Linked DNA regions of Mus musculus. The protein of the gene in region 2 interacts with the protein of the main gene of each other region in a pairwise test. Links are inferred from orthologs where the notes say so. Each region holds a gene or a part of one and is shown on either strand. Other genes may lie near its edges. The genes, in order: Itm2b, Creb3, Kcnk1, Apod, Tspan2, Mfsd5 and Ptpn9.

Region 1 (3,282 bases), on a different chromosome or scaffold from region 2:
AGACCAGCAATAAGCACCCGTGACTTCTGAGCCATTGCTCCAGACCTACTCTCAGGTGTTTTCCAGGCAGTGGATTCTGAATTCTCTCAGCTAAGAAGCAACCTCAGGTGTGGTTGCTATGATAGTGATCTTAACACCCTGGAAGCTGAGGCAGAGAATCATCACGAGTTTGAGACTGGCCTGATTTCCAAGTCAGCCTAGTTTCCAGACTGAGACCCAGTTTCAAAAACTGAAACAGCAACAAAAATCCCATCTCTAGCTTGCCAGGTTCTGTGGGACATGTCTATCTCCCTGCTGGAGAGGCTGGTCCCTAGAGACTACCAGTTACAACAGCACAGTGAGATGAGTCTGAAGAAAAACCAGAACAGACTGAGAACCACCACTTAGATCCACATCTTAGCTTCAATGCTAACCATCCACTGAATGACAAGGCCCACTTCCTGTCAAGCAGCGTTGGTCAAGTTTGCCCTCGGTGTCACTGAAACAGCATCCACAAGAAATCTGATTTAGTAATTAATGGCTTATTTTATTTTTTTAAAAAGCTGATTTTTATAACTGCATGTAGAGAACTAGACTTTATAAAATAGTTTCATTTTTTATGTATGTGGATTACCTTAAAGTATGAAGAACCAAATTACTTCTTTGGTTTTATCCTATGGGAAAAACAACGCACAGTCTCATCACATGGCTTTGTGATATTTATATTCCATTCCACAGATATGGGCTATACAAATTAGTAACATGAGTTGCTTCTTAAATTCCAAACATTTGTCTAAAATCTTATTACAGCAGAGGCCTAGGATATTAAAACATCAAGGCTGAAATCCTCTAAAGTAGTTAAAGCAACATTGAAGATACGGCACATTTTAATTAAAGTAGTATGAGAAGGTGACTTCAAATGCTAACAGACTAGGTAGCAGGGCTAGCATCTACAAGCAAGTCACTGTGGTCCCTTTAACATATGCGAATGACTATTCTTTAGGCATCTTTCCCTCATGGAAGTGCAGAATTAACACAAAAATCCAGATTAGTGATTTCCAAGCAATTTAGATTCTTCCTAGTAGGTAAGCTCTAAGGAGAAGCGAATCTTATCTAGGAACCTGCACATTTGCTAATTCAAACATCAAAGACACCACACTTAGAAAAAAGAAAGGTTTTGTTTTCTTTTTTTAAGATAATGGTTTTTAATTGAGTTATTGAGATGAAGAGACAGTGAAGCCCTGTTTGCTACTTACATGAAAAGAAGATTTTAAAAAACAATCACTGCACAAAATACAAAGGGGCAGGGTATGCTGTGGCATTGAATTCCTCCCCACGTTTTTTCTTGACTTCTCAAGAACAAATTAAAGTCTCCACAGCAAATTTGTTCTCAAAATGCCGAATGGTGAAACAGTTACTGGCTTCCCGCTTCTGAATACCTGTTGGGAAAGGAAAGGGGGCTGGTTTTGGTTTTGTTTTAAGTTGTTTAGTAACAAATACTCACAGTTACTCTTTAGACATAGAGAAGCATGCCACTACTCTATATCCATCCCATAATTTGAAATTTGTGCTCCACTGGGCCTTTCCATATATCCTAGCAACTGGTAACAGTGCTTTACAAACGGCTTACAGACAGATGTGCTGCCTAGTCAACTTGATACACAAACTAGAGTCATCTGCAAGGAAGGAACCTTAATTCAGAAAATGCCTTCATAAGATTCACCTGTAGAGCATCTTCTTAATTAGTGATTGGTGTGGGAGGGCCCAGCCTATTGTGGGTGGTGCCATCCCTGGGCTGGTGGTCCTGGGTTCTATAAGAAAGCAGGCTGAGCAAGCCATGGGGACAGTAAACAGCACTCCTTCATGGTCCCTGCACCTGCTCCTGCCTCCAGGTTCCTGCTTTGTTTGAGTTCCTGTCCTGACCTCCTTTGGTGATGAACAGCAATGTGGAAGTATAAGCTGAATAAACCCTTTCCTCTCCAACTTGCTTTTTTTTGGCCATGGTGTTTTGTTGCAGCCACAGAAACCCTAAGACACAGATGCATGAGCTCCAAGGTTTGGGAGGTATTCTAGTTACATACGGTGGAGTCACATGCCCGTGTGTGCTTGCAGAACTGCACACCGGGAGAGACAAACTTCGTTCTATCAAATTGGTTTTAGAAAATTATGAGGCAAGATCGTGACTTAAATGTAAGAAATCAAGTGGTAGGTTTCAGATGACTCAGCAGCCTGAGGTGAGAACAATGTCACTACAAGTATTGGCAAAGACCAGAAAAGAAGCACTTCTGCTGGGTGACACAATCCCACACAAGCCAGGCTGTGGCGTCACCGACGGATGGCACTGGACGATGTGTAAGGTCACACACACTTCTGCGTTGCATTTATAGTGGGCACATGCTGCTATTCTTACTGCTCAGGGGGAAAACAAGATTTAGTGACAGCAGAGCTGCCGAGGTCATGTCAGGGCTCCAGACTCCTCACCTACAGGTCTTCCTAAGTCACCTGGCTGTGACTAGCCTCAGCACGATCCACAGGTGACGGGACCTGTGAGAACTCAGATTCCCTAAGAGTCCAAGCGTGAGGCTGAAAGACCTCCTCTCTCCTGTGGCCCAGCCACAGTGAGGATGAAAAGTCAAACCTGACTCTTCTACATGCAAACTGAGGGGTGGGTGTGCGTCCCAAAGCAATGGCATTTCCTGCTGACTGATGGTTTCTATCTGAAGAGAGAGGGTTTGGGATTTCCATGATTCTAAATCTTGGAAAAACTAACCAAGCATGACACAGGGTCCCTTTACATTGTCACCCAAGCGTCATGGGAATTCTCTGACTCTCCTTACCTCTAATTGTTTCCCGGCGCTGCAGTTTGTAGGTCTCCTTGTCGTGACACAGTCGGTAGATGAAGAAGCCCAGGTTGTCCACGTTCTCGATGCGGTCGGTGATCACCATGTGCTCATGGATAAGGTAGGACTGAGGCAGGTAGGTCCCGGCCTGTGGGAGAAAAGATGTGACATGGAGCTTTCTCAGTGTGCACTGAGCGAAAGGCAGACAAAACTCTTCGGTGTGCTTTTAAAACAGGATTTATGGATATTTAACTGGCTGCTTTTATAAATGTAGTCTTGGTTTTGGAATTGGAATCTCGCTTTGTCGCTCAAGCTGGTCTTCAGTTCCCAGACTTAGCCGATTGTTTCTCCTCAGCCTCCCAGGAATGACGCTTGGCATGGGTCACCGTGCCTAGCGATACGGATGGTGACAGCCAGGCCCAACTCAGGGGCACTGGAATGAAGTAGCTGGTTAATAGTTATT
Region 2 (3,949 bases):
ATTTGTAACTTGGTTCTTAATTAACCTTTTCACTGTTTATTCTTAATACTGACCATGACACCGGCCTTTAATCCCTAAAACGGGCATCTAAGCCAATTCCTGTTGATCCTTAACCCGATCCTGTACTCTGACTTAATGCTGGTCATTGCAGAAAATAATGACCTCAGTTTAAATGTCACATATGCGAAACAGACTTGACTCGTGCAGCAAATGTTTAGAATGTAGTTCACCTTCTTAACTTCTAAAGGGATCCTTGCTTCCTAAACGCGACGGCACCTAACCCAAACTCACCCCAAGTTTTCCTAACCACTTACTCACTATCGGCTAATACCAAAGCCCATCCCCGCCCAGTGCCTCACTGCCACCCAGTGCCTCACTGCCACCCCATTTCTACCCGTCCCCAAACCTAGCCGAGACAGAGAACTGTCTACCCCCGCGAAAGGGCCTGCTTCTCGCAACAAGGCCAGCTTAATTCCAAATCCAAACCGAAACATACTGGACCCTGACCTCCCTAACCAGACACAGGATATGCAGGAGGATTGGGGGCCCCGCCCGCCGCTTCCCGGGCTGGCCCGATCCCGCAGCCCCACCTAGAAGCTCGGCCCAGCCCGTCCGGCCTACCTGCGCTGCCCGGCTCTGCGCCCCGCCCTGGGCCCGCTACCCGCTCCTTCTCCCGGTCGCTTTTGGGGCTCCGGCCTCGCCCTCCCTTCGACACACTCTCGGCCACTTCCGTCCTGGAAACGTCCCCCACCCGCCGGCGGCGCCCTGGGCCCGCGCTCTATGGTAGCGGAGACTGCAGGAAGCTGCTCTGGCCGTAGTTCTCGATGCTCGGGCGCCCGCGAAGCCTGGCCGCCCCTCCCCAGCAGGAAGCGAGCGTGCAGAGCTCTGGAGAGAACGCCCGAACTAAGCTGGAGTTCCCTTTTAAACGCTTAAGTTTTTTTTTTTAATAGCTCGAGGCGAAGGCGGACAAGGATCCTCAGAATCCCCGCCCTGGGGCGTGGGAAGCTTGAAAGGACGTCCCCATAATTTGCATAGCCCCCGGGACGTGGCGCAGCCCAGGAGCCACTTCCGAGTTGGAGAGAACTCCAAGTCCCAGGATTCCACGGGGCTATGTGCACCACTTCCGTTGTGTTGGAAGCTGAGGAATACAGAAGCTGAGAGACGGGTGCGGTTTAGAGTGACAGCTAGGCCCTTGTCCCGGAGTGACGGAGGTTAAGTCGAGCCGACTGGACAGACTGAGGGGTCGTGCCTGAGGTTCGGAGGTTGGATCTGCGCGGAGGGATTTCTATCCATAGATATCCCAAATGGATCCTGGTGGTCAGGATCTGCTAGCTTTGGATCCCGGTGATCAGGACCTGCTGGGCTTCCTGCTAGAGGAAAGCGGAGATTTGTGGGCTGCGACTGAGCCGGACGTGAAGGCTCCGCTGGACTTAGAGCTGTCACCTTCCGAGGTGGGTGGGTGGGTGTTCCCAGTGGGGGAAGCTAGGGATGTCCGCGAGACCCAAGGTACGGAAATAAATCAAGGCCTTTGAATTTGATAGAACTCCGTGCAAGAACTGAGCGACTGGGAGGTAGAGGATTTACTGAGCTCTCTGCTCAGTCCCTCAGTATCGCGGGATGTTCTCGGCTCTTCCAGCTCTTCCATTCTCCATGATCACAACTACTCCCTTCCACAGGAGCACGTCTCCATAGATCTAGGTGAGTGTGAAATGATAAGTTGTGGGGGAGGAGAGAGCTCACTGGGCTAGCTGGTTCTACTTTCCCTTTTGCAGATACTGAGAGCTTCGAAAAGGAGGGGTTCCACGTGACTCCACTGCCAGGGGAGGAAAGAGCAGCGGAACAGGTGCTGGACTTGATTTTTTTTTTCAGGATTACCTCACTTTGCAGCAGCCAAGATCCCCCATACTGCTCTGAGAGCTCCATGCAACTCTGCTCTCTTCACTATTTCCTCCATCCTTAGGAGATGTCTAGGCTGATACTGACCGAGGAAGAGAAGAAGCTCTTGGAGAAGGAGGGGCTCACTCTGCCCTCAACCCTTCCTCTCACTAAGGTAAGGCTCCTGTTGGTAGAGCAAAGGCTGGAGGGGGTTGGTAACCCAAGTAGGCAAGCTCAGTTTGTTTCATATCAATCACTTGCAAAAGGACAAACCAACTCCTACAAGTTCTCTCATCTCCAAACACACACCCACGTCAAAAGATAATGTTTTAAATGTAACTTTAGTACAGAGCCTTGAAAGTGAAGGGCCTTGATAGCTTCCGTTGTTATCTTGGGACCTCGAATCATACTCAGTGGTAGAAATGCTTGAGAGGCTGACTCAGTCTAACAACATCAACAATCGTCAAAGCTGGACATGATGGTGCACCCCTCTATAACCCTAGCACTCTGGAGGCAGGAGCAGGAAGGTCTTCACAAGTTCAAAGTCACTTCCCACGTGCTGGGATTACAAGAATACTGCATCTAGTTTTTGTGGCAAATTTTTTTAATGTCATTTGCCTTTTTAATATTGTCTTACTTCTGATATGTAGATATTTACTTATTTGGGGCAGGTGGATCAGCATTAACGGACAGACTTAGCTTCATGTTGAGTTCAGGCAAGCTTGGGCTATGTGAGAAACCATCCCCTATCCCTCTATCACTATTACAAGATGAATGAGCAATATATTGGGAGGAAAGGAAACGGAACTTGGAAATTATCAATAGTGGTTCTGTCCCTAGGATAGTAACTGTCTTGTCTTCCTTTACACTGGCCAGAGCATGCCATAATTCCCCTACCCACTGGGATTGGAGTACAGTACCTCATGAATGTTCATCAATGCTCACTGCTGAGCCACGCCCTCTGGCCCTTGTTGTTAAGGCAGGGTCTTGTAAACCCAGGCTGGGCTGGCCTCAAACTATGTAGTAGGGAAAGAATGCCTTTGAATTCCTGATTCTCCTGCTTCTAACTCCCTCGGACTAGATTACAAGTGTATGATGTCACTCTTGGCTAGTGTCCAAGTTTGACAGGCATTATCAGAGAATGTAAGAGTTAACTTTATTCAGTTTTAGTTTCTGAAAGAAAAAAAGTTGAAAGTACCTTAAGATAAGGATATATTCTATATCACTTTAGAGACTCTAGGAAAATCAAATGAATGGAAATTATAAGAAGATTGATGTTGCTTTAGGATAAGGGTAGATGTTGTTGTTGTTAGTTTTGAGACATGGTCTTATGTAGCTCAGTCTGTCCTCAAAAACTACCCTAGCCAAGGATGGTCTTGAAATCCTGACTTCCTTCTTCTGCCTCCCAAGTGCTGATACTACAGGCATGTACAACCACACCTAGCTTAAGTGGAATTTTTAAAATTAATTAGAGACTGGAAAGATGATTCCGTGGTTTAGAGTACTTTCTGCTTTTCCATGGGGCATGAGTTCAAGTCCCAGCTCCCACATGGCAGCTTACAATCCGAGGAGATCTGACACCCTCTTCTAGCCTATGTGGGCACTAGGCACACCCATTATACATATACGTTATACAGACATGCAGGCAAAACACCCAAACACATAAAAAATAATAAAAAGTCTGGCTTTCTAGTGTTGAATATCTGCTCCTTGGTGTTCACACAGAAGGTAAATGCCTACTGACAGAGAGGCTGTGGAGAGTATTTGATTGGGAAGAAGGTTAGCTGTCTTCCAACATACCTATGTAGTATATATAGGTATAACATACAGGCATATAATAACATACTGTGGGTGACCTTTCCCCCATCTTCTCTTAGGTGGAGGAACAAGTTCTGAAACGAGTGCGGAGGAAGATTCGTAACAAGAGAGCAGCTCAAGAAAGCCGCAAGAAGAAGAAGGTGTATGTCGTGGGGCTGGAGAGCAGGTAAGCAAGGATGGACACGGGGGAAGCCTGGAGGGTCTTGAAGGGAGGAGACACAATATTTTGAAATCCACGTGTCCTCACATCCATGTT
Region 3 (4,287 bases), on a different chromosome or scaffold from region 2:
GATGCAGGCCATCTGAGGTCTTCTCTTGCAGTGAACAGTTTCTTAAGTGGTGAAACCCACCAGCTCCAATCTTAGCACCATCTGCATCTCTGCCACAAAACCATTTTGGAAACCAGAGGTGCTATCAAATGTGTCCGATGATGGCATCAGCTCAAAACTGAGAGAGGAGGGGCTTTGACTCACAGCACTCTGTTCACTACACCCACCGTCTCACCGATCAGCTGGTTTTATACACGGAGAGTCTCCTCCTTTGTCTGGCTTATCCCTAAGTGCCCCTTGCTCTCCTTTCTTAAATAAACCCTTGTTCCAATACCACAGTACAGACTTTCTTCCTCAGAAGGACAATGCAATAGGAATACCAACACGACACCCCACTCCTCCCCTCATACATCAGACACCCCACTCCCCTCTCGAGGATATTTCAGGAGTTGTGGTGATTCCTAACATTAGGGGCTGAGCTCACATTAAACAAAGATTCCCCAGAAGAAATGGGATCTGAACTAGCTTTTGATGCATAGGATACCAGGATTATACAAGAACTTCAGCACTGCCCACAAACGCCACCTAGGAAAAGCATGCTTTCTCTCCTGGCTCTTCCTATCCCTGCCCTGTCTGCCAGGCCCGCAGGGTAAGGGCAGTCTTCATTCTCAAACTGCTCAGCCAACGTTGTGAGCCAGTTGTGAACTTTATGTAAACATTCATGTCTATGGTGGAGGAGGGATTTACACTCTGACACAAATAGGATCCAAAAAGACCTGACTGGCCTGGGTGATGTTGAGATAAAGCCGGGACTGTGAGCAGCAGGGGGGGGAGGAGACTTTTCTTTGGAAAGTGAGCCAACAGGTTTGTCTTGTTTCGGCATCCATTTAACACAGTTTTTTTTTTTTTAAAAAATACCGCAACACAGCCTAGAACTCTTTCTGTGTCGATTACAAGTTCAGGAACTCACCCCAGATTTCCAAACAATAAATTTACCTGATCTGGCTGGAGGTTGGGTGTTTACAATAGTGGGTAATTAATAAAATAATTTACCCGGCCGCAGCCCAAAGGAAGTTGAGAAGGGTCAGCCTGAGAGGCAGAGAGGAGGGAGAAGGAACGGCTGGAGTAACCCAGGTGCAGTTGAGTCACTTGCAAAGGTGGGGCAGGGGCATAACACACTGTTCCTGGCAAGAACTCACAAGGCTCGGATTCCAGAGTGTCCCTGGGCACTGTGTGACCTTGTGCCTGCCAAAAGGGGCCATTTCAAAAATTGGATCTCATGCATAAGAAGAAGGCACGGTACTGAGGCCCTTTGAGAGTCCCTCTGGCTGTCCGTGCACCGTTTATGTCCTTCCTAGCCTGCACGCATGGCTAGCCACCACTGACGAAACCTGGCCTCTCTCCATCTAGTCTAACTGCTATGCCCCTGGGCATGTATGTTCAGCTGGATTTCTAAGCCTCTTGAAGACGTTGAAGCCTCAAAGTAGAAGAGAAGCTCAACGCACCTAAAGTTGAAGTAACCGCTGATTCAGGAAGCCCCACCATGTGGGGCCCAGGTCAAGTGACTCCCTTCCCTTCTCCCACCCTTCCTCCTACTCTGAAACCCCCATAGGCCTGCCTGCTTAGAGGTCACCTGCAGAGAGCAGAGTGATGTCACCACTGTCCCCAAAACAGATCCAAAGAAGCTGTAATAGGTCTACAGTAGGGAAGGGAGTCACAGTCATGAAGGTGACCCATCCAAGGGTCATTGCTAGGTTTCTCGGCCTGGGGTCTCTGGGATGGGGCCAGAAGGAGGCGAACGCTCTTAAGCACAGGATACTCTCCTCATCTCCTGGTCTTGCTGCTCAGTTGCCAGGACAGAAATGTCGGGGACCTACCCTCCCATCAGCTCCTACCTGCTCCTCACAAGGACGGAGAAGTGAATGAGACCCCTGCAGCCTCAAGGTCCAGAGTGTTTGAGACCATTCCCAAAGAGTAACAGCTGCAGTACCCATATCGTGCTCCGGGGTCACCTCACTGGCTGCCGCCACTGCGAGCCACCGCAGGATGCGCCCAGCGGAGGCCTGGGGACGCCGGGGTTTGGGGTAAGGTGGCAGCAGCGGCCCTACCTGTGGTGGAGAGCACGGTGCTGGCGAAGAAGAGCGCCGAGGTGAAGTCCCAATTCCAATTTCCCGAGGCGTTGCTGAGCACCGACACTCCATAATTGCTGGCCTCCAGCACGCGGCCCAGGAACTGCTCCAGCTGCGGCTCCGACAGGCACTCGTGCTCCTCCAGGAAGCGCCGCTTCAGCTTGCGCAGCTCCTGGCGCAGCAGGTCCTCATAAGGCAGCTCCACGGACGAGAAGACCACGGCGCCGAACACCAGGTAGAGCAGGTAGCCCAGCACCAGGAAGCCGAAGCACCAGGCCGAACGGTGCCGCTCCACCAGGCGCACGCACGAGCTGCCGGCCAGGGACTGCAGCATCTTCCCGGCGCCCGCGCTCCGCGCCTCCCGCCGCCGCTCCCTTTCCTGGTTTCGTGCAAATACAAGAGGCCAGATGATGTGGCGGTGACGTGGTGGCCGGCTCAGGTAGCGGGAGTTGGTCGGGCGGAGCGCTCTCACCCACTTGGCGGGAGCTGCTGGCTGCCCGCGCCCCCTACCTGGCTTCCGAAACCGGAAAGTGCAGGTTTGGTGGCGCCAGACCCTGGCCAGGCCACCCGGAGGCTGCCTGGCTCCCTCTTCCCTTCCCCAGTGCAGTCAGCAGGCCTGAGCTGAGAGAGAGAGAGAGAGAGAGAGAGAGAGAGAGAGTGTGCGCGCGCGCGCGCGCGCCACCGTAACCCCCGTCCTAGCTACTTTTGTCCCCCCAGGCATTCCTCCTGATTAAAGCTACTATAGCCAAATACCAAGGGTACAGATAGATCCTGTCTTCCTCTGTCTTGTTGACTGGACAGCTAAGCCATTTGCTGCCCAGACTATTGAAAATACAATGAACCTCTTTCTAAAAAGCTACTTGAATCCTCTCCTGACCCCATCCTCCACCTGGAACAGGAAAACACAGCTTCTGGATTTTAGCCTAAACAATACCCCAAACTTTAAGGACTTCGTGGTCAGGAGACAGAAATGGAAATGTGCGCTAGGGCACGGAGGAACTGATGGTGGATGAGGTTGGGTTCTACATTTCTGCATAGACATGTGCAGCCGTGTGCTTCTAGAGTCTAGCTGTGTGCTTCTAGGGGTGGGGGTGGAGGACCTGACTCTGTGACACTTCCTAGAGAAGGATGACAGTCACATACATAAGACTCAGCATAGCTGTATCCTGTCTTATATATCGTGCCATACATCATACCTATTGTCTTAGGTTTTTATTGCTGTGAAGAGACGCCATGACCACAGCCGTTCTCATAAAGGAAAATATTTACCTGGGTCTGGTTTACGGTTTTAGAGGTTTAGTCTATAATTATCATGACTGGGAACATGGTGGCACACAGGCAGACATGATACTGGAGAAAGAGCGGAGTGTTCTACATCTGGATTGGCAAACAGGAGAGAGAGAGAGAGAGAGAGAGAGAGAGAGAGAAAGAATAAAACTGGGTCAGCGTGAGCATTTAAAACCTCAAAGCTCAATCCCCTGCGACACACTTCCTCCAACAAGGCTACACCTCCTAATAGCGCCACTCCCTATGAGCCTGTGGGGGCCATTTTCATTCAAACCACCACTCCACACACAGAGGTGTATTTTTGTCATTACATGCACATGGAGTCAAGAGTCAGGGACATTCTAAAGGCTCCTAACTAGGGGAATGGGAGCAGGAAAGATGACGTAGTGGTAAAGTACTTGGGTACCCAGACTTGTGGTCAGACACTCAGGACTCGAATTAAAAAAAAAAATGTTGAAGCATCATCATCATCATCATAGCATTATCATTATTATCAATGTCTCCAATGAACTCCGGGAATGGACTCCGGTTGCCGGGACCGTGGTTAGCACCTGGACTGCTGAACCGTTCCCCAGCCAAGATGACATCTGATCTTTAAAGATGAATTTGAAGACTATGCAGACGTAAGCACAGCTGTCTGGAATCTCAAATATGCGAACCGTTTATGCTGTACCCTGTAACAGAACTGTGTCTGCAAAGCAGGCTAACATGTAGAAGTAGAACTGCCTCCAGCAGCTGTTTGTGGGGAAGTAGAGGAGAGAGGTAGCTTCAATTTCTTATATTAAAAAAAAATACTCCTCATCTATGGTAGATGATATCAGTAAGAGAAAGCATTAAAGTAAATCCGAATTAATCTAAATACTTGGAAAATTCCATCATCTGCCTACTGAAC
Region 4 (3,971 bases), on a different chromosome or scaffold from region 2:
TGACACCGAGCTCAGTAAATATTAGATTTTTGTTTGTTTGTTTATTTTGTCTCACCATTAGTCCTGGCTAGACAACATGCTTTGTAGACTGAAGTGGTCTTGAACTCACAGCGATCTTCCTGTCTCTGCCTCCCGTGTGCTGGGAATTAAAGACACATGCTACCTTGCCCAGCTAAACATTAGCATTGCTATTTTGAAAAGCAGAATCAGGATTGCATTTCCCAAATGTTTTCCCCGTTTGCTGAGGGTGCTTTGCATAGAGGATGTGCATTTAACTGGAGAAGAGCGGTCAGCTGATGTGTAGGTCCAACTTTATTTCCATACACAAGTCCTCTGGTGGCCACAACCCTGGGGAGGGGAGTGGACAGGGGAGTGAGATGGCGGTCAGTCAGTTCAGGCTATGGATGGAGACCTTGGGCTCCTCTCTGCCTTTCTCCCTGACTTGCCTTCCCTCTGTTCCCCTTTTGTGCCTCCTTGCCTCTCACCGCACATGAGCTATTTCCAGCTCGCTGCCTTTCTGCCTGTGATGACTGAGTCAATGCAAGCAAAGTGTTCTCAGATCTGAGCATTTCAAAGGATGTGTCATAACAGGAACAATTATAACCACTTTATTATGAGTCTCTGAACCTCCAAATAACTTTAATAATCAATAGCCTTTTCTTCCTGAAGGTTTTGTTGCCTGGTTTTCAACAAGAACAGTTATGTAAGGAGCGAGAGCTGCCAGCTGGGGCGGGTTGGGGAGGGGGTGGCTGCTGAAGTTCTCTGGAGCAAATCTGTGGTGGGACCACCATCTTTAGTCCTAGAGGCCTCCTTCCTTCCATCATCATATAAACAACACCTGTCTTTTGACATTTTGGAAGGTGGAGTGTTTGTAGAAGCTTCGCCTAAACTCATAAAAACTTTGCACCCATTTTCAAGGGCTCTTGGAATCTCTGTAGCTCTACCCAACAGGCCTAAGCCAATAGCCTTTCCCACACACTGAACTTTAAAGGGTGGGTGGCATAGAGTATATGCATTCTACTGCATTTCAGAAATGGGCAGGACCATAAAGGTCATCTATTCAGCTCTCCCTCAAGCTCCTGCCAGGTGTGCAGATGGAGAAACTGAGGCCTGGAAGGGAACTGGACTATGACAGGGCCAGCTGTCCACCCAGAGCCTCTCTGCCATGTTCCCACCTGCATCCATCTTGGTGCCTTTCAGAAAATGCCTGCCTGTGAGACCTGGTGAGCTCTGTCTCACCATGCACCAGCGACAACCAGTCAGCCCATGTCTAACTCCGACAAACGTCTCATTACAAGATGTTCTCATGTGAGCTGAAGCACACCCTTGGGCTCTGTGGGAGGATTCAGAACAAGGCTAACTCCCCTTGCCTGCATGGCTTCCAGAGACACCGTCTGGATGCTTTGAGTTTTCTTCCTATAGCTGAAAGTCCTTCAGAGGGGAGCATGTTTTCCATGTTCTGTCCAATTGGATTCACTTAACACTCACTGACAGAACATGCTATTGATGTATATGTACAACTCTGAGAAAAAGATAGGTGCTTTAGGACATATCATTTCCTATCTTCTAATATCATAGGAAGATCATCGAGGTGAATTTACTTTTCAAAAAATAAGCTTAACTATAATTTTAACTAACTACCAAATAACTTAAAGGTAATTCTTCCAAAACTGGTGCATCCTGGACCAGGCACTACCTGAATTGCAGGCACACTGAGGGTCAAGCACACTGGGCTTCTCCTTGGGAAGTGCTGGTCTGAGTACCTATTGTGTGCACTGCATCGGAGCTCACATCTGGAAGCCACCTGTGCTGAAATTGACCCTGTTCTCTGTTAAGGTCTCCAAGAGCACGTGTGTCACTTTAGCTACAGTCCCTAAGCTCAAGAATATTAAGCAGATGTCCCATGGCAAAGCAAAATGTTTGCATGGGTGAATAGATTTTAAAAGCAAACAAATACATGTAGCCTTTGAATGAACAGGAACCATATCCTTTTAATTTCTTTCTTTTTTTCTACATGGTCCTCTGTCCTCAAGCCTGCTATCTAGTTCAGGCTGTCCTACAGTGGGGATCTCTGCTTCTCCAGTGCCAGGGTTAAAGGATTACACCACTAGGCTAAGCCAAACACGTATGCTAAACAAAACCGTTTTGTGTCCAGCTGTTCAGTACTCTAATCACACAAATAATTCCAGTTTTTGGTTGATCTTACTGCCAGGTGCAGTTGAGTCACACTAGAAAACTCATCTGGTGCTGTCTTGCCACACAGGCAATGTTCTCATGGTCTCCTTTTGATAGGGGGGAGGGGTGTGGAGCAGAAGCAGCCATCAGGGCAAGCATAGGCTTAGCCACCCCCTCCACCTAATCACCTGAAAACGGGTTCCAATAACACTTACCTTAGAAGTCTGAGGAAAATGAGATGGAGCCTGTAAAAGCCTTCAGTTGGTGCTCACTGTCAGTTTCTAACTGAAATGAAGACAGTGGGAATCAGGGTGGTCTCTGCTTTACCCATCGGTTACCCCAAGTGCAAGCTCCAACTATGAACGTACCTCTCAGATCAGATGACTGAAGTTTCCACCCAGAATCCTCCAAGTGAGGTGTGTGGCTTCTCCCAAGTCACTTTATAGGCTCCCATCAGGCCCTTGCCCTTTGATAGTCAGGCATGCCACACCCACCACAGCTTGGGGGAAACTGGCCTCAAAGCTGAGCTCTGTGTGGGGCACAAAGATGGGATGCTGTGTCTGTCCCCTCACTTAGTTTCCTTCACAGCTGCTCCCTGAGGAAGAAACAATGAGATATTGTTTGTGCATGAGAGAGAGAGAGCGAGAGCGAGAGAGAAAGACGAAGTTGCATTTTTGTTCAAAACATCTTTTATTTTTTTTCACTTTGTGGATTTTCCACTTAATTTTTTTTTTTTTCCTCTCAGAATGCTCTTGTAAGTTCCAGCAAGAAGGGCTGTACCATGCTTCCAAACATCTGGTATTTATTTTTTTTCATTTTTGTGTAAATGAAAAACCAACAGTTTCATTTCCCCGAGGTGGAACAGGAACACTGCACCCCATGTAGTCCTGGCCAGGAATGTGAGGATCAGAATTATGAGATGCAGGGCGGGCCCCTGCTTCAGTGAGCTTCAGTTTCCCCATTGTGAAGACAGACGTTGTGGTCTTCACTAGAAAGGGACATAGCAGTTCTCTACCATGTGGAGTCAAAATCTATTGCATCCGAGCATCTTCTGCAGCTCTTCTCTTTACACCCTTTGCAACATCCCCATCTCTCTTGCACGGCTTGGAGCTGGAAAATGGGGTATACATTTGCCATGGGGACTTTTGGCTCAGTCACATTAGGGCATACCACAGACCTCCCAGATGACTACAGACTTGGAAACCCAATGGGTAGACAATAGTTTTTAATAGTTCCCCTGCAGTGTGGACTGCCAAATGAATGAGCTGAAGAGGCGTGCTGTGCATCCCAGTGTAAACTATAGAGCTTGGCTGCTATTTAAACTCATCCTCAGAGCTTCAGCCTCAGGGATGCCCGTAGATGGAGCTTTGGAGGCTGCCTCAGAGCTATGGAGGCTGCCACAGATCAGCCTCTGGTTCTACCGTTCAGAGCTGATAGGGCGGCTGCAGGCTCCATTAAGGGCCTTCCTTCCCAGCATATCTACAATTTTATAATAATTTTCAGCCAAATGGTGCTAGGGACAAATCTTACTGTAGATGTTGGGGGTGAACAGTAGAAGAAGAAAGAGCTCAGAGGACTGGACAAACCCACTGGGTCCTACACGCCGTTCAGACCACCAAAGACCCCAGAGATGAGGCACTTAGTGGTTTCTGTGTTGATACAGCCAGGCGAGGCGTGTCTAAGGGTCATTACTGTTCACATCCGGGGACTGAATCTTGGATGTTAAGGAGTGAAGCTCTTGAGGCCTCTCACCTTTAGTGTCTGAGAAGGGCACAGGGCTGTGAACCAAGGCAAGA
Region 5 (4,168 bases), on a different chromosome or scaffold from region 2:
GAAAGACAGATACTAGTTACTGAACACTTCCTGTATGCCAGACAGTTAATAACAAGAATAACAAATAACTTCAAGCCCCTACTATATAAGGCTGGCTTAGGATACATCACACACGTCCTCAGCACAACTCTGTCCATCTAATTGAACAGATGGGAAGGCAATCCTGGAGGGAAAGCACGCTGGCTCTGGCATGGAGGGAGAGCACACTGACTCTGGCATGGAGGGAGAGCACACTGACTCTGGCAAGCCCCCTCATCTAAGCACACCATGCTTTGGATCTCTGCCCTCAGACCCCCCCTGGCTTTGCCTCTCGGATGGCTCACAATCCTTTGCTCTGCTCCTCATCTGGTGGCTTCCCTCTGCCCACCTCCGTTCTCCCAGGTTGAGCTCCGATATCTCTCAGATGAAGTTGTTTAGGGTCCTCGCTGGTACTGGGATTGCTTTTCTGAACTCTGTACTTAGATCACATATAGAAAAGGCCATCTCCAATCTCAGTGACAGGCACTCAGACTTCACTGGAGTGCTACTTCATCCCTGCGCTTGTGACCCGGGTGTGAAGCTTGTCACTTGGTCACCCTGCCTTACTTTGTTTTTGTTGTTCTCTGTGGGCTGTTCTCTTAGCTGTAGTAGCAGCTTTGGGAACAGCATCTATCTAGTAGTTGTTTGATGGTGATTCTGAAACATGCCCGTGGGTTCAGATTACCTGGATGCCTTCTAGAATAGCTTGCTGGGCTCCTCCCCAACACTGTCTGATTCAGCGAGCCGGGCTGAGTGAAAATATATGTTTCTGAAAATTCCCCAGGGAGCCCTGATGCTGTTGACCCAGGAGCCACATTCTGAGGACAGCTGGGTGACTGAACCTCCCACAGGATGAAGATGGAGGAGGCAGCCTTTGAGTCCTGTCTCTGCCACTCAACAGCTGTGGGACCTATCTGATCCCCCACGTCTTCGTCTATGAAGATGGGGATGCCCTGCTTGCACATGCGCACTGTCCCTAACCCACTGCAAAGGTTTGATAAGTCTGGAGAAGCTGGCACAAAATAAGCACTAAACCCAGCCTGAGAGACTTCCCTCCCTGGCTCACACAAAGTATGTTGTAAGCAGTGAGAGTAACGGGTGTCACTGCAACATGGCACCTATAATTAACAGCCTTCGAAATTAAGCCAGACTTATAAACAAACAAACAAACAAACAAACAAACAAACAATACAGCACAAGGGCGCTCAGAAAGTCTTCTTCCTGGAGTGTGATGGGTGTAAAAGCCAAGTTGTACAAAGTCTATATGTATTTTTAAAATACAGGGGATGTCCCCAGGTACTGCCTCCAGACTGTCCATTGCTAGCCAGTGTTGGTCATGGCCACGCAGTCTCTGAAGAGCTTAGAGTTGCTGGAGTCACCCAGGCTTCAGGGCTGATGGGTTGGTAGTCACAAGTGAGGCCCATCGTTCAATAATTTATTACTTATCGTCCATCCAGCCTCCTCAGAGCAGATGGGACAACCATCGCGGCCAGTCCAGTGGTTTCAAAGCATCCCAAAGCATCTCTGCTCCTGCAGTTACCCACATCCCCTGAAGCGAGACTCGTGTCTTCCCTCAGGGTCTATCTGAGCAGCTACACTGGCTGGCATTCTGTTACTGGAAGGCCAATAGGGACTGTGCAGAATGGGCCTCTGACCGTTTTCCAGGGCTCGGGAGAGAGTATTCCAGGGATGGTACACCTCTAACTATGCCCTGCTAACACAGTAGACTGGGGCCATGGCACTCTCTCTGGCTGTCTCTATGCATCTCTACCCAGGGAATGCTGCCAGGTCTACACCACCCTGCAAAGTTGAATGAGATCATTTCAAGAGTACTGGTTGTACGCAGGGACCCTAGGGGGATGTTGCTGCTCTTCCAAAATCCCTCCATTTTCCAACCCCTCGTAAAAGAGCACCCACCACTGCCCACCCAGAAGACCCCCCCCCCCGCCAATGCCCAAGAAAAGGACGATCTTCCCCACTCTTTCAATTTTCTCTACTGTCCGTTATTTTCCCAACAAACCACCAGAGCCAGGCGGCGTGTCCGCACACTCTTGGTTGGGGCGCCACCCCAGGCAGCCCTACGGTAGGGATTTCCCTCCCAGAGCCTTGGCCCGGCCGCCGGGTTCCCCAGAGAAGGCAGCGCGAGAAGTGGGTGTGTGTACACAGCAGGATGCAGGGAGCACGGGCCGCCAGGCCCCCAGCCCTCGGAATATTGGGGCCCGCTAGATCCCCGCACCTGGCGCCACCCGCCGGGCGATGCCGCCGAAGATGATGGCTTCTTTCGGGGGAGCATCGCACCGTGTCTCCTCTTCTCATCACCTCTGGTAGCTCAAGCTTCTCTATGTCCTATCCCCCTCCATATGTCCCCTCCCTCTTTGTCTGCTTAGCGCCTCTGAACATCCTGCCCTCTCCTATGGCCCAACTCTATTGCGGTCACCTCCCCGGGGACCCTGGCCCCCTAACCGGCCCGCCGGTTCGGGTCTCACCCAGAACAGCAGGTTGAAGCCGAGCAGCAGATACTTGATGCACCGCAGGCCCCCGCGAAAACGCCCCATGCTGCGACCCCGGCGGCGGGCTCCCGATTCCCCAGGCCCGCGCCGAGCCCCGGGAGCGGCGGGCGCCGGTGGAGGGGCGGGGCGGGTTGGGAGGGGCGTGACCTGTGGGCGTGGTCTGCGGGCGGGGATTTGGTCGCGAGCGGCCAGCTGGCTGTGGCTGGGGCGCCCTGGGGTGGAGATCCCGGTCCCACGCACCCGCTCCGGCCCTTGGAGGTAGCACCACCTTCGTCCACGCTGGTGGGCTTGGGCTCCTGTAGCTATCCGAGCATATGTGCGCCCACCCGGAACGCGGGGTCCATTTAATCAGTGCCGGGTGCCCAGACTCCCTTGAGGCCCTCGATGATGGTTGAAGTTATCCTGCGTGTCTATGGAAACCTAGGGAGGTGACTTCAGATGGTAAAGCTAATAGGATCGGTGAAGCCGGTAGAGACTCTGTGGTGAGGCGCCAGGCAGAGTGTCCAGGGCTGCAGTTAAGCAGAGTCCTGCAAGCGCCCAGGCCGCGGGCGGAGGCCGCTGCTGGGGACCCTCCCTCCTGCCGCTGCGTTCCTAGAGGACTGTTACCTTAATAGGCAAGAACTGGGAGTAGGCGCGCCAGGCGGAGGCCCTGGGCCCTGACACTGCTTCCCACCCTGCCCAGTCCAGCCCACCAGATCAGGGAAAGGGAGTCAGACCTCTCACTCACATCCTGCTAGGTTTGATAGATCGGGGGCCTTGAAAGAAGTCCAGATTCTTAGGGTCTAGACTGAGATGTGTAGATCAGGGAAAGGGAGCGAGTTCTGTTTTGCTTTGTTTTTATTAAGCTAGGCGACTGGTGAAGAATCGGGCATTCACTTCAGTTGACTAAGTGTCTACAATATGTGGTGTCAGACGGCACGGGGGAGACAGGAAAGTGTAAAATCAGGGAGCTTGTGCATTAATTTAGCAACACTCTAAGTGCCAATTATAGGCCAGGCATAGTAGCAAGCCCTGGGGACACCAGAAGAATGCCAGGCTTGCTATCACATCTTTACTGGAGGGCACAGATCTGTAAGCAAATTTTTGGAACAAGGTGAGGTGGGTGGGCTAGGAGCTGGGCAAGAGACTGCTTCTGCCTTGACTAAGGAAGGCTTTTCAAGAAGACTGGACCTGATCCTAATTTGTAAAATAGGTGTCAGTAGCTGGGCAGTGGTTGTTCACGCCTTTAATCCCAGCTCTTGGGAGGCAGAGGCAGGCAGATTTCTGAGTTTGAGGCCAGCCTGGTCTACAGAGTGAGTTCCAGGATAGCCAGGGCTATACAGAGAAACCCTGTCTCAAAAAACCAAAACCAAACAAACAAAAAGGTGCCAGTAGAGAGAGCAGGGGGTCAGGGGAGGAAGCAGAGGAAGTACAACCTAGCCTGGGAGCAGGAGTCAGAGAGATGGCCAAGGTGAGGGGAGTCAGGAGCTCACCAGAACAAATCACAGAGGGCAGGCACTTGACTAATGTGACACATTACCCCATTATCTTGGGGCCTCTCTTTCCCATCTCAGTATGGAGATTGTACAACCTGCTTCAAAAGAGTTGTGAAGATTAAGGAGTTAATATATGTACAGTGAGATCAGTGAGGCACATGAGAT
Region 6 (4,098 bases), on a different chromosome or scaffold from region 2:
ACCTCTCCAGCCCTGCTTTTTTTTTTTTTTTTAATTTATTAAAGATTTACTTTATTTAAAAGTTTATTTTATGTGCATGAGTGTGTGCCTAAGTGACTATACTCTCACTAGTTTCATGCAGGTCTCAGAAGTCAGAAGAGGTCAGTCAGCTCCCCTGGTGGAGCTGGAGCTACAAGCAATTGTGAAAACTACTCTGCATATTACTCTTCAAAAGCAGTAACAAGTGATCTTCCACCCCTCTGCCTCTCCTCTGCAAGAACAGCAAGTGCTCTTAACCTGTTAATCATGGAGCATTTTCGCTAGGATTTATTTATTTATTTATTTATTTATTTATTTATTTATTTATTTATTTATTTGCTTTCCAAGCGCAAGGACTACATGAGCCACCACACCATGAAAGAAAGGGAAGTCCTGGCCAGGCGGTGGCAGCGGCGCATGCTTTTAATCCCAGCACTTGGGAGGCAGAGGCAGGTGGATTTCTGAGTTTGAGGCCAGCCTGGTCTACAAAGTGAGTTCCAGGACAGCCAGGGCTATACAGAAATACCCTGTCTTGAACCCCCCCCCCCCAAAAAAAAAGGAAGAAAGAAAGAAAGAGGTCCTCTCTAATAATAACATGACTTCTGGCGGTAAAGAAGGTAACTATCTTGGGGGGGAACTCTGCAGGAAGCAGTGTGCAAAGGCCCAGGTGGGAGCCGGTGTAGACAGGAGGCCGCGTGGTAGCAGATAAAGTCATGGACATAGCAAAAAGTCCCGGACAGATGCATTTGCATGTCTTTTGAAAGATGTTGGATTCTATCCTTAGTGAAAAGGGAAGCCATTGCAGGGGTCTCCAGGACATAATATTGAATACTGAAACTTAACATTCCAAGAAAAAGCAGATCCTAGGTAGCAGGAGGTGGGAGTCCAGCTCCAGGGCTTAAGTTTTTGTCACTGCTTCCGCAGCCGGACTCCGGCTTTACACCACACCGCCTCCCTCAGGTGTCTGGACAATACTGACTGCTGGCCGGGAGGTCAGGGGAGGTCCAAACCCTAGGGCAGCTCAATTTAGGGCAGCGGAGTTCATTAGCACGTGGTATCCGCTGGCTCTGAGGGACTGCCGGCACCTTTCCTTCTCCTCCTGGAGGAAAACAGAAAATACACTTTCATTCCGGACGACCCCGCGGATATTGGCCAGCTGGAGGACCCTATGGTACCCGCCTGCTCAGGCGCCCAAGAGAACAGCGCACCGCTCCAGCATCCCGGGCCCCATAGGCTCTTCCGCTCCTGGGCGGGGCGCCACGAGGGGGAGTGGCTTCCTGCCGCGCCCCGTCACGTGACGGGGCTATCATGGCGGCGGCCACGAGCCAGCCCGGCTCCCGGAAGCAGGCTGTGAGGGGCGGGCGCGCTGCTGGAACCCGAGCGGAGCCGGAGCCAGTGCGGGGAGGGCGGCCCGGCGGCCTGGAGCCGGACGTGTCCGGAGCGTCCCGGCAGACCGGGGCAGCAGGTGAGATGGGGGCCGGGCGAGGTGCGAGCGGATGAGGGGACGCTCGGCTGAGGCTAGGGGGCGCAAGGAGGGTCAGCCGTGACCCATAGCCGGGGAACCTGCGGTGCGCGCGCGTGACCGCGAAGCATTGGAGAGGCCGGCCCGGGCGGAAGGGATGCTCGGGAATAGATGTGGAGACACTGAGCTCCAAAACTGGCTTATCAGCGAGGATGGGAGGTACAAGAAGCCTGCAGAACCTATCATGGAGATGGGCAGTAGCCCCTTTTGAACTTGAGGGACCGAGATTACTGAAAGGAGTCCCCTTTGCTGTACCAGGCAAGGGTGGAGCGAGTGCTCTGGCCTCTCCCCACTGTCACCCTCCCCCGCCCCACTGAGTCCTAGGAGACAGCCACTCCTCCCACCCACCCAACTGGTCCCTCCAGTCTCAGCTCTGGGGGAGAGAAATTGACAGTGCAGTTGGGTGGAGTTGCCCTCTGCTTAGACACCTAACTCCTCGACTGTGCTACCTGGATTATGGATGTGACTGTGGCCATCGTTCTCTCCCCAGGTCGTCCGGGGGCCCATCATGCTGGTGACTGCCTATTTGTCTTTTGTGGGCCTCCTGGCCTCCTGCCTGGGTCTGGAGCTGTCAAGATGCAGAGCCAGGCCCCCTGGAAGAGCTTGCAGCAACCCCTCCTTCCTTCAGTTTCAACTAGACTTCTATCAAGTCTACTTTCTGGCCCTGGCAGCGGACTGGCTCCAAGCTCCCTACCTGTATAAACTCTATCAGCATTACCACTTCCTGGAGGGTCAGATTGCTATCCTCTACGTCTGTGGCCTTGCCTCCACGGTCCTCTTTGGCCTAGTGGCCTCCTCCCTTGTGGACTGGCTGGGTCGTAAGAAGTCTTGTGTCCTCTTCTCCCTCACTTACTCTCTATGTTGCATAACCAAGCTCTCTCAGGACTACTTCGTGCTGCTGGTGGGCCGAGCACTCGGTGGGCTGTCCACAGCTCTCCTCTTCTCAGCCTTTGAGGCCTGGTACATCCACGAGCACGTGGAGAGGCATGACTTCCCCGCCGAGTGGATCCCAGCCACCTTTGCCCGAGCCGCCTTCTGGAACCACGTGCTGGCTGTGGCGGCTGGTGTGGCAGCGGAGGCCGTGGCTAGTTGGATAGGGCTGGGGCCGGTCGCACCCTTTGTGGCTGCCATCCCTCTTCTGGCTCTGACTGGGGCCTTGGCTCTACGAAACTGGGGAGAGAATTATGACCGTCAGCGTGCCTTCTCCAAGACCTGTGCTGGAGGCCTGCGCTGCCTGCTGTCTGACCGCCGGGTGTTGCTGTTGGGTGTCATACAAGCGCTGTTTGAGAGTGTCATCTTTATCTTTGTCTTCCTCTGGACACCTGTGCTAGACCCACACGGAGCCCCACTGGGCATTGTGTTCTCCAGCTTCATGGCTGCCAGCCTTCTGGGTTCTTCGCTGTACCGCATCGCTACCTCCAAGAGGTACCACCTTCAGCCCATGCACCTGCTTTCCCTTGCTGTCCTCATTGTCGTCTTCTCTCTCTTCATGTTGACTTTCTCCACCAGCCCAGGCCAAGAAAATCCTGTGGAGTCCTTCATTGCCTTTTTACTTATTGAGTTGGCCTGCGGGCTCTACTTTCCCAGTATGAGCTTCCTGCGAAGGAAAGTGATCCCCGAGACAGAGCAGGCCGGGGTTCTCAATTGGTTCCGAGTGCCCCTGCATTTGCTGGCCTGTCTAGGGCTCCTTGTCCTCCACGACAGCGATCGGAAAACAGGCACCAGGAATATGTTTAGCATCTGCTCTGCCGTCATGGTGACGACTCTGCTGGCAGTGGCAGGACTCTTCACCGTGGTGAGACACGACGCTGAGTTGCGGGTGCCCTCACCCACCGGGGAGCCCTACGCCCCTGAACTTTGATCCTCCAGGACAAGGGGTCTGAGATGGGCTCTGGAACACACCCACCTACCCATGACTTGCTTTGTGACTCTGTCCTGCAGCCCCTCTTGCCAGTGCTCTGTATTGGGAAGGACATGGGGGTGACAGACTGGAAAGGTGCCAAAAGCTGACAGTGTACTCCCTTCTCCTTGCTGTGTAAAAATAAACACTTCTAATGGATGTGACTCACTTGTCCTCTCCTGTACCCACCTCAGTTGCTGGTGAGGGGGCAACTGGAGATTTTTGAGGTACAGGTGGGGTTCTGATGTCTTCAAGTCAAATGTCTCCAGCTAAACTGAGGGCTGTGAAATGCCTGTCAACAGAACTGGGTGGAAAGATTCAGAGGCTCCTAAGTCCTTACTCTTGGCTAGGACAGGTACCCTCTCCAGTTTGCAAGCAAAATCCTCAGTTCACATGCAGGGGAAAGATGGACTCTTGAAGTTGGGCTTAGAGTCAGGACACTCATTACACATGTTGAGATCTGATCTCTGGTCCTCATGATTATGCAGTAAGTGCTTTTAGCCACTGAGCCTTCTCTCTACCTCAAAAAGGGAAAATGATCTTAAAGCATGTATCCAGTGCCCAATATACTCAGCCCTTGAACAAAGATTCCAGTGTTCTGGGCTGCTTTGGTGACTACCCCATGACGGTAAACAAAAGCCTTTCCTGTAGGAATAAG
Region 7 (3,500 bases), on a different chromosome or scaffold from region 2:
AAGAAAAGTTTCAAAATAGTTAGAACAGAATAGCAATGCAGAGATCTTTTAGGTACTCAGAATATACATGCATAATATCTCAATTTAAATAATTCTAAAATGAAAAAAAATAGATATTTTGGCTGAAGTCGGGTCCTAGCAGAGTTCTCTAATCCCACCTCCTAGGAGGGGTTTCTCATTACTCCTTCATGCATGCCAATGCTGTGTCCTCTCTCTGAACTGGCTGTACTTTTTATCCTAAGCAGTAAAGACTAAGACTATATAAATGTAACCTTTATGATAGTTTATATAAGTGGCACTATTAGGAGGTGCAGCCTTGTTGGAGTAGGGGTGTCACTGTAGGCGTGGGCTTTAAGACTCTTGTCCTAGCTGCCTGGAAGCTGGTCTTCTTCTAGCAGTTTTCAGATGAAGACGCAGAACTCTCAGCTCTACCTGTACTCTTCCTGTCTGGACGCTGCCATGCTTCCACCTTGATGATCATGGACTGAATCTCTTAACCTGTAAACTAGCCCCAAATAAATGTTCTCCCTGTAAGAGTTGCCTTGGTCATGGTGTCTATTCACAGCAGTAAAACCTAAGACAATGTTTTTAAATTAAAATTTAAAATTACTTTTATTTATTTATTTGTCGGTGTGCATACATACAATTCCATGGCACGTGGGGTTCAGAGGACAGTTTGCAGGGTCCGCCATATGGGACCTGGCAATTGAGCTAGAGGCAAGTGCCTTTTCCTGTTGAGTCGTCTTTCTAGCTCCCCTTCTTCCTCCTACTTTTTTTTAGATGGAATTTCATATAGACCAGACTGGCCTAAAACTTGATATGTAAAAGAGTCTCATTTGGGGAAAAAAATAATAATTTTTGCCTGCTTGTTCCTGTTATGTTTCTAAAATATATTCTCTTTTTACTAACTGTCCTCATTTTTTTTTATTTAAACAGGCTACCAAGCAGTTTCTTGAAGAGATCAACAAGTGGACAGTACAGTATAATGTTTCTCCACTCTCCTGGAATGTGGCTGTCAAGTTCCTCATGGCCAGAAAGTTTGATGTGCTCCGTGCTGTAGAGTTGTTCCACTGCTACAGAGTGAGTGGCTCAGGGCCAGCTAAGTATTTCTATTTTTTTCCTGCTTTACGTTGTACATGGTGATTTTCTACTTCTCTCTTATTCTGTTAAAGTGGGTCAATGTCCACCAATCCTATGAGAGCTGAGGTTGGGCTCCTGGAGACACTTGCTTAATGTGCACAAAGCTTGCTTGCAGACCAGCCTGCTACCTGTGAGAACTGAGGCGAAGAATGTTCCTTAATGTCATCCTGTGGCCACTCCTGGGGTTTTCCTCCTTGCTCTCTTCCCTGCCTCCTGGATAACCTGTTTGGTATATTTTATAGCTGTACTTTAAGGCCTCATGAAGTTGTAGAAAGCTGCCATTCTGATGAACTTTGAGCTAAAGAGCTATTCAAGAAAAGATTGGTGCTAGTGTCAGCTAGGTCCCATTCTTGGCAGTGTCTTTTTGGTATTTGTTTTGTTTTGTTTTGTTTTGTTTTGTTTTGTTGAGACAGGTGTCTTTGTGTAGCTAGCCTCTGCCTTGTGAGTGCTGGGATTAAAGATGTGAGCCACCATTGCCCAGCTACAATTTTTTTTTTAATTAAAAAAAATTTTTTTTAAGAATATTTATTTTATGTGAGTATACTTGCTGTCTTCACACCAGAAGAGGGTGTCAGATCCCATTACAGATGGTTGTGAGCCACCATGTGGTTGCTGGGAATTGAACTCAGGACCTCTAGAAGAACGGTCATTGCTCTTAACCACAGAGCCACCTCTCCAGCCCTTGTTTTGTTTTTTTGAGACAGGGTTCTCCATGTAGCCTTGACTGACTGTCCCAGAACTTGCTCTGTAGACCACGCTGCCTCTGCCTCACAAGTGCTAAAATTAAGGGCATAATCTACCATAGCTGGCTAAGATTTTTTTTTTAAGGAAGTTTAAGACTGATTCTGTGTTATGTCTGCTTTCTGGGATTGTAGCATCTTTGATTGAAATGCTGTATGTTATGTTACTTTGTGGTTAGAAATTTCTTCTGAAGAGATACCATCTATCCTTAAAAAGAAAAAGAAATCCTAGGAAAACAAACAAGCACTGGGATTAGCTCACACTTATCGTACGGCTCATCCAGTACTCACTTATTTATTCCATAGATATTAATGGAATACATACTATGTTAACCATGCCGCAGTTGTTACTTAGGAGAGAGAGTAAACAATAAAAAAAAAAAAGGATACTAGCCTTAAATCTGAAGGATGAGTAGGGATCAAGCACTGGTGAAGTATGGCTAAAGAAGATAATATGTGGGCTGGAGAGATGGCTCAGCTATTAAAGGCTAGGTTTATAACCAAAAGATAGAAGAAAACAATAGTTCAGATCCTCAATGGTAGAAAGTAAAATTTAGCTAAGCCAGAATGTTGAGTGGGAGTCAAGGCATGGCAAGAGATGGAGAGCACAGATAAATGAGGCCAGATCATTAAGGCCTGAGAAATCCATTAATGATATAAGCAATGTGATAAATTTTTCCATATTTGCATTCCAGAAAGATTTTGACAATATATTTTTGGATAGTGTATCTCACTGATTACCTTGGAGCCAAAAAGATCAGTTTAAAGACTGTTGTACTTAACAAGGAGAGAGAATGGCAGTATTATTAAACATGTAATGTCAGGGGAGATGGAGAAAAGTAGACAAATTTAGAGTTCAAATGAGTAGGAGCTGCTTAAGCTGGTGTGTGAGGAAAATGAGTGAGGCATCTGAGTTGGGACTTGTATGTCAAGATCAGTGCTGGTAACATTAATTAATTTAGGAGACATTGAAGTGGGGTGGGTTCATGTAGAAAGAAGGTCATGGGTTTAATTTGTCCATGTCTTTGGGATACCCAAATAGACAGTTCCTGTAAGCAACTGGAACCTGAGTGCTGGTACAGAAAAGAAATCTGCACTGGGAATCGGTATTTCTGAATAGCCAAACTCGAGCTGACTCTTGGAGGCATCAGAACAGATGGTTGGTCCTGAGAAGGTGGCTGTAGACAGGAATTATGGTAACGGTTAGCTGCCCTGGAATGCTAAGGCATGCTACAAAGGAATTCACAGTTCAGTTAGTTGATTTCTAATGTCCCATCCCTGAGATTTGATGGCTACATAAAATTGTTCTGGATATGTCATATTTTCATATTAATTCATGTCTTCATTGTTTCCTTTTTAGGAAACAAGAAGAAAGGAAGGCATTGTGAAGCTGAAACCTCATGAGGAGCCTCTCCGTTCTGAGATCCTCAGTGGGAAGTTTACTATCTTGGTAAGTCTGTGGAACCCATCTTGTGCTTTGTTACATCCTTTTGTGGCTGTTGCCTTATTTGGATTTTTGTGCCTAGGTTCCTTATCAATACATTTTGCTAAAATTGTTCTAATAATAATTGAGTTATTACTAATTAAAAGTATTAATAATAGTTGAATTATTGAGTTATG

The links.
Region 1: the proteins of Creb3 (region 2) and Itm2b interact in a two-hybrid assay, tested with the Homo sapiens proteins (2 studies listed by BioGRID and IntAct). The two-hybrid records come from large-scale screens. The link is inferred for Mus musculus from reciprocal best matches to the Homo sapiens genes CREB3 and ITM2B.
Region 3: the proteins of Creb3 (region 2) and Kcnk1 interact in a two-hybrid assay, tested with the Homo sapiens proteins (2 studies listed by BioGRID and IntAct). The two-hybrid records come from large-scale screens. The link is inferred for Mus musculus from reciprocal best matches to the Homo sapiens genes CREB3 and KCNK1.
Region 4: the proteins of Creb3 (region 2) and Apod interact in binary tests that used the Homo sapiens proteins (3 or more experiments, as listed by UniProt). The two-hybrid records come from large-scale screens. The link is inferred for Mus musculus from reciprocal best matches to the Homo sapiens genes CREB3 and APOD.
Region 5: the proteins of Creb3 (region 2) and Tspan2 interact in a two-hybrid assay, tested with the Homo sapiens proteins (2 studies listed by BioGRID and IntAct). The two-hybrid records come from large-scale screens. The link is inferred for Mus musculus from reciprocal best matches to the Homo sapiens genes CREB3 and TSPAN2.
Region 6: the proteins of Creb3 (region 2) and Mfsd5 interact in a two-hybrid assay, tested with the Homo sapiens proteins (2 studies listed by BioGRID and IntAct). The two-hybrid records come from large-scale screens. The link is inferred for Mus musculus from reciprocal best matches to the Homo sapiens genes CREB3 and SLC61A1.
Region 7: the proteins of Creb3 (region 2) and Ptpn9 interact in a two-hybrid assay, tested with the Homo sapiens proteins (2 studies listed by BioGRID and IntAct). The two-hybrid records come from large-scale screens. The link is inferred for Mus musculus from reciprocal best matches to the Homo sapiens genes CREB3 and PTPN9.

Annotation. Positions count from the first base shown.
Region 1 is NC_000080.6:73,361,726-73,365,007, forward strand, and holds the end of Itm2b (integral membrane protein 2B precursor), read right to left. Parts: intron 2,968-3,282; coding exon 2,817-2,967; intron 1,419-2,816; coding exon 1,333-1,418; 3' UTR 501-1,332; downstream 1-500. UniProt on the Homo sapiens protein: Plays a regulatory role in the processing of the amyloid-beta A4 precursor protein (APP) and acts as an inhibitor of the amyloid-beta peptide aggregation and fibrils deposition. Plays a role in the induction of neurite outgrowth.
Region 2 is NC_000070.6:43,561,509-43,565,457, forward strand, and holds the start of Creb3 (cyclic AMP-responsive element-binding protein 3), read left to right. Parts: upstream 1-1,149; 5' UTR 1,150-1,304; coding exon 1,305-1,451; intron 1,452-1,541; coding exon 1,542-1,698; intron 1,699-1,772; coding exon 1,773-1,843; intron 1,844-1,960; coding exon 1,961-2,050; intron 2,051-3,752; coding exon 3,753-3,859; intron 3,860-3,949. UniProt on the Homo sapiens protein: Endoplasmic reticulum (ER)-bound sequence-specific transcription factor that directly binds DNA and activates transcription. Plays a role in the unfolded protein response (UPR), promoting cell survival versus ER stress-induced apoptotic cell death.
Region 3 is NC_000074.6:125,993,615-125,997,901, reverse strand, and holds the start of Kcnk1 (potassium channel subfamily K member 1), read right to left. Parts: upstream 2,801-4,287; 5' UTR 2,443-2,800; coding exon 2,088-2,442; intron 1-2,087. UniProt on the Homo sapiens protein: Ion channel that contributes to passive transmembrane potassium transport and to the regulation of the resting membrane potential in brain astrocytes, but also in kidney and in other tissues.
Region 4 is NC_000082.6:31,312,009-31,315,979, forward strand, and holds the start of Apod (apolipoprotein D precursor), read right to left. Parts: upstream 2,801-3,971; 5' UTR 2,544-2,800; intron 2,461-2,543; 5' UTR 2,391-2,460; intron 1-2,390. UniProt on the Homo sapiens protein: APOD occurs in the macromolecular complex with lecithin-cholesterol acyltransferase. It is probably involved in the transport and binding of bilin. Appears to be able to transport a variety of ligands in a number of different contexts.
Region 5 is NC_000069.6:102,733,402-102,737,569, reverse strand, and holds the start of Tspan2 (tetraspanin-2), read right to left. Parts: upstream 2,801-4,168; 5' UTR 2,574-2,800; coding exon 2,505-2,573; intron 2,356-2,504; exon of another isoform or gene 2,312-2,355; coding exon of another isoform or gene 2,255-2,311; exon of another isoform or gene 2,153-2,254; intron 1-2,152. UniProt on the Homo sapiens protein: May play a role in signalling in oligodendrocytes in the early stages of their terminal differentiation into myelin-forming glia and may also function in stabilizing the mature sheath.
Region 6 is NC_000081.6:102,278,147-102,282,244, forward strand, and holds Mfsd5 (molybdate-anion transporter precursor), read left to right. Parts: upstream 1-1,309; 5' UTR 1,310-1,483; intron 1,484-2,030; 5' UTR 2,031-2,048; coding exon 2,049-3,401; 3' UTR 3,402-3,598; downstream 3,599-4,098. UniProt on the Homo sapiens protein: Mediates high-affinity intracellular uptake of the rare oligo-element molybdenum.
Region 7 is NC_000075.6:57,018,968-57,022,467, forward strand, and holds part of Ptpn9 (tyrosine-protein phosphatase non-receptor type 9), read left to right. Parts: intron 1-936; coding exon 937-1,080; intron 1,081-3,240; coding exon 3,241-3,330; intron 3,331-3,500. UniProt on the Homo sapiens protein: Protein-tyrosine phosphatase that could participate in the transfer of hydrophobic ligands or in functions of the Golgi apparatus.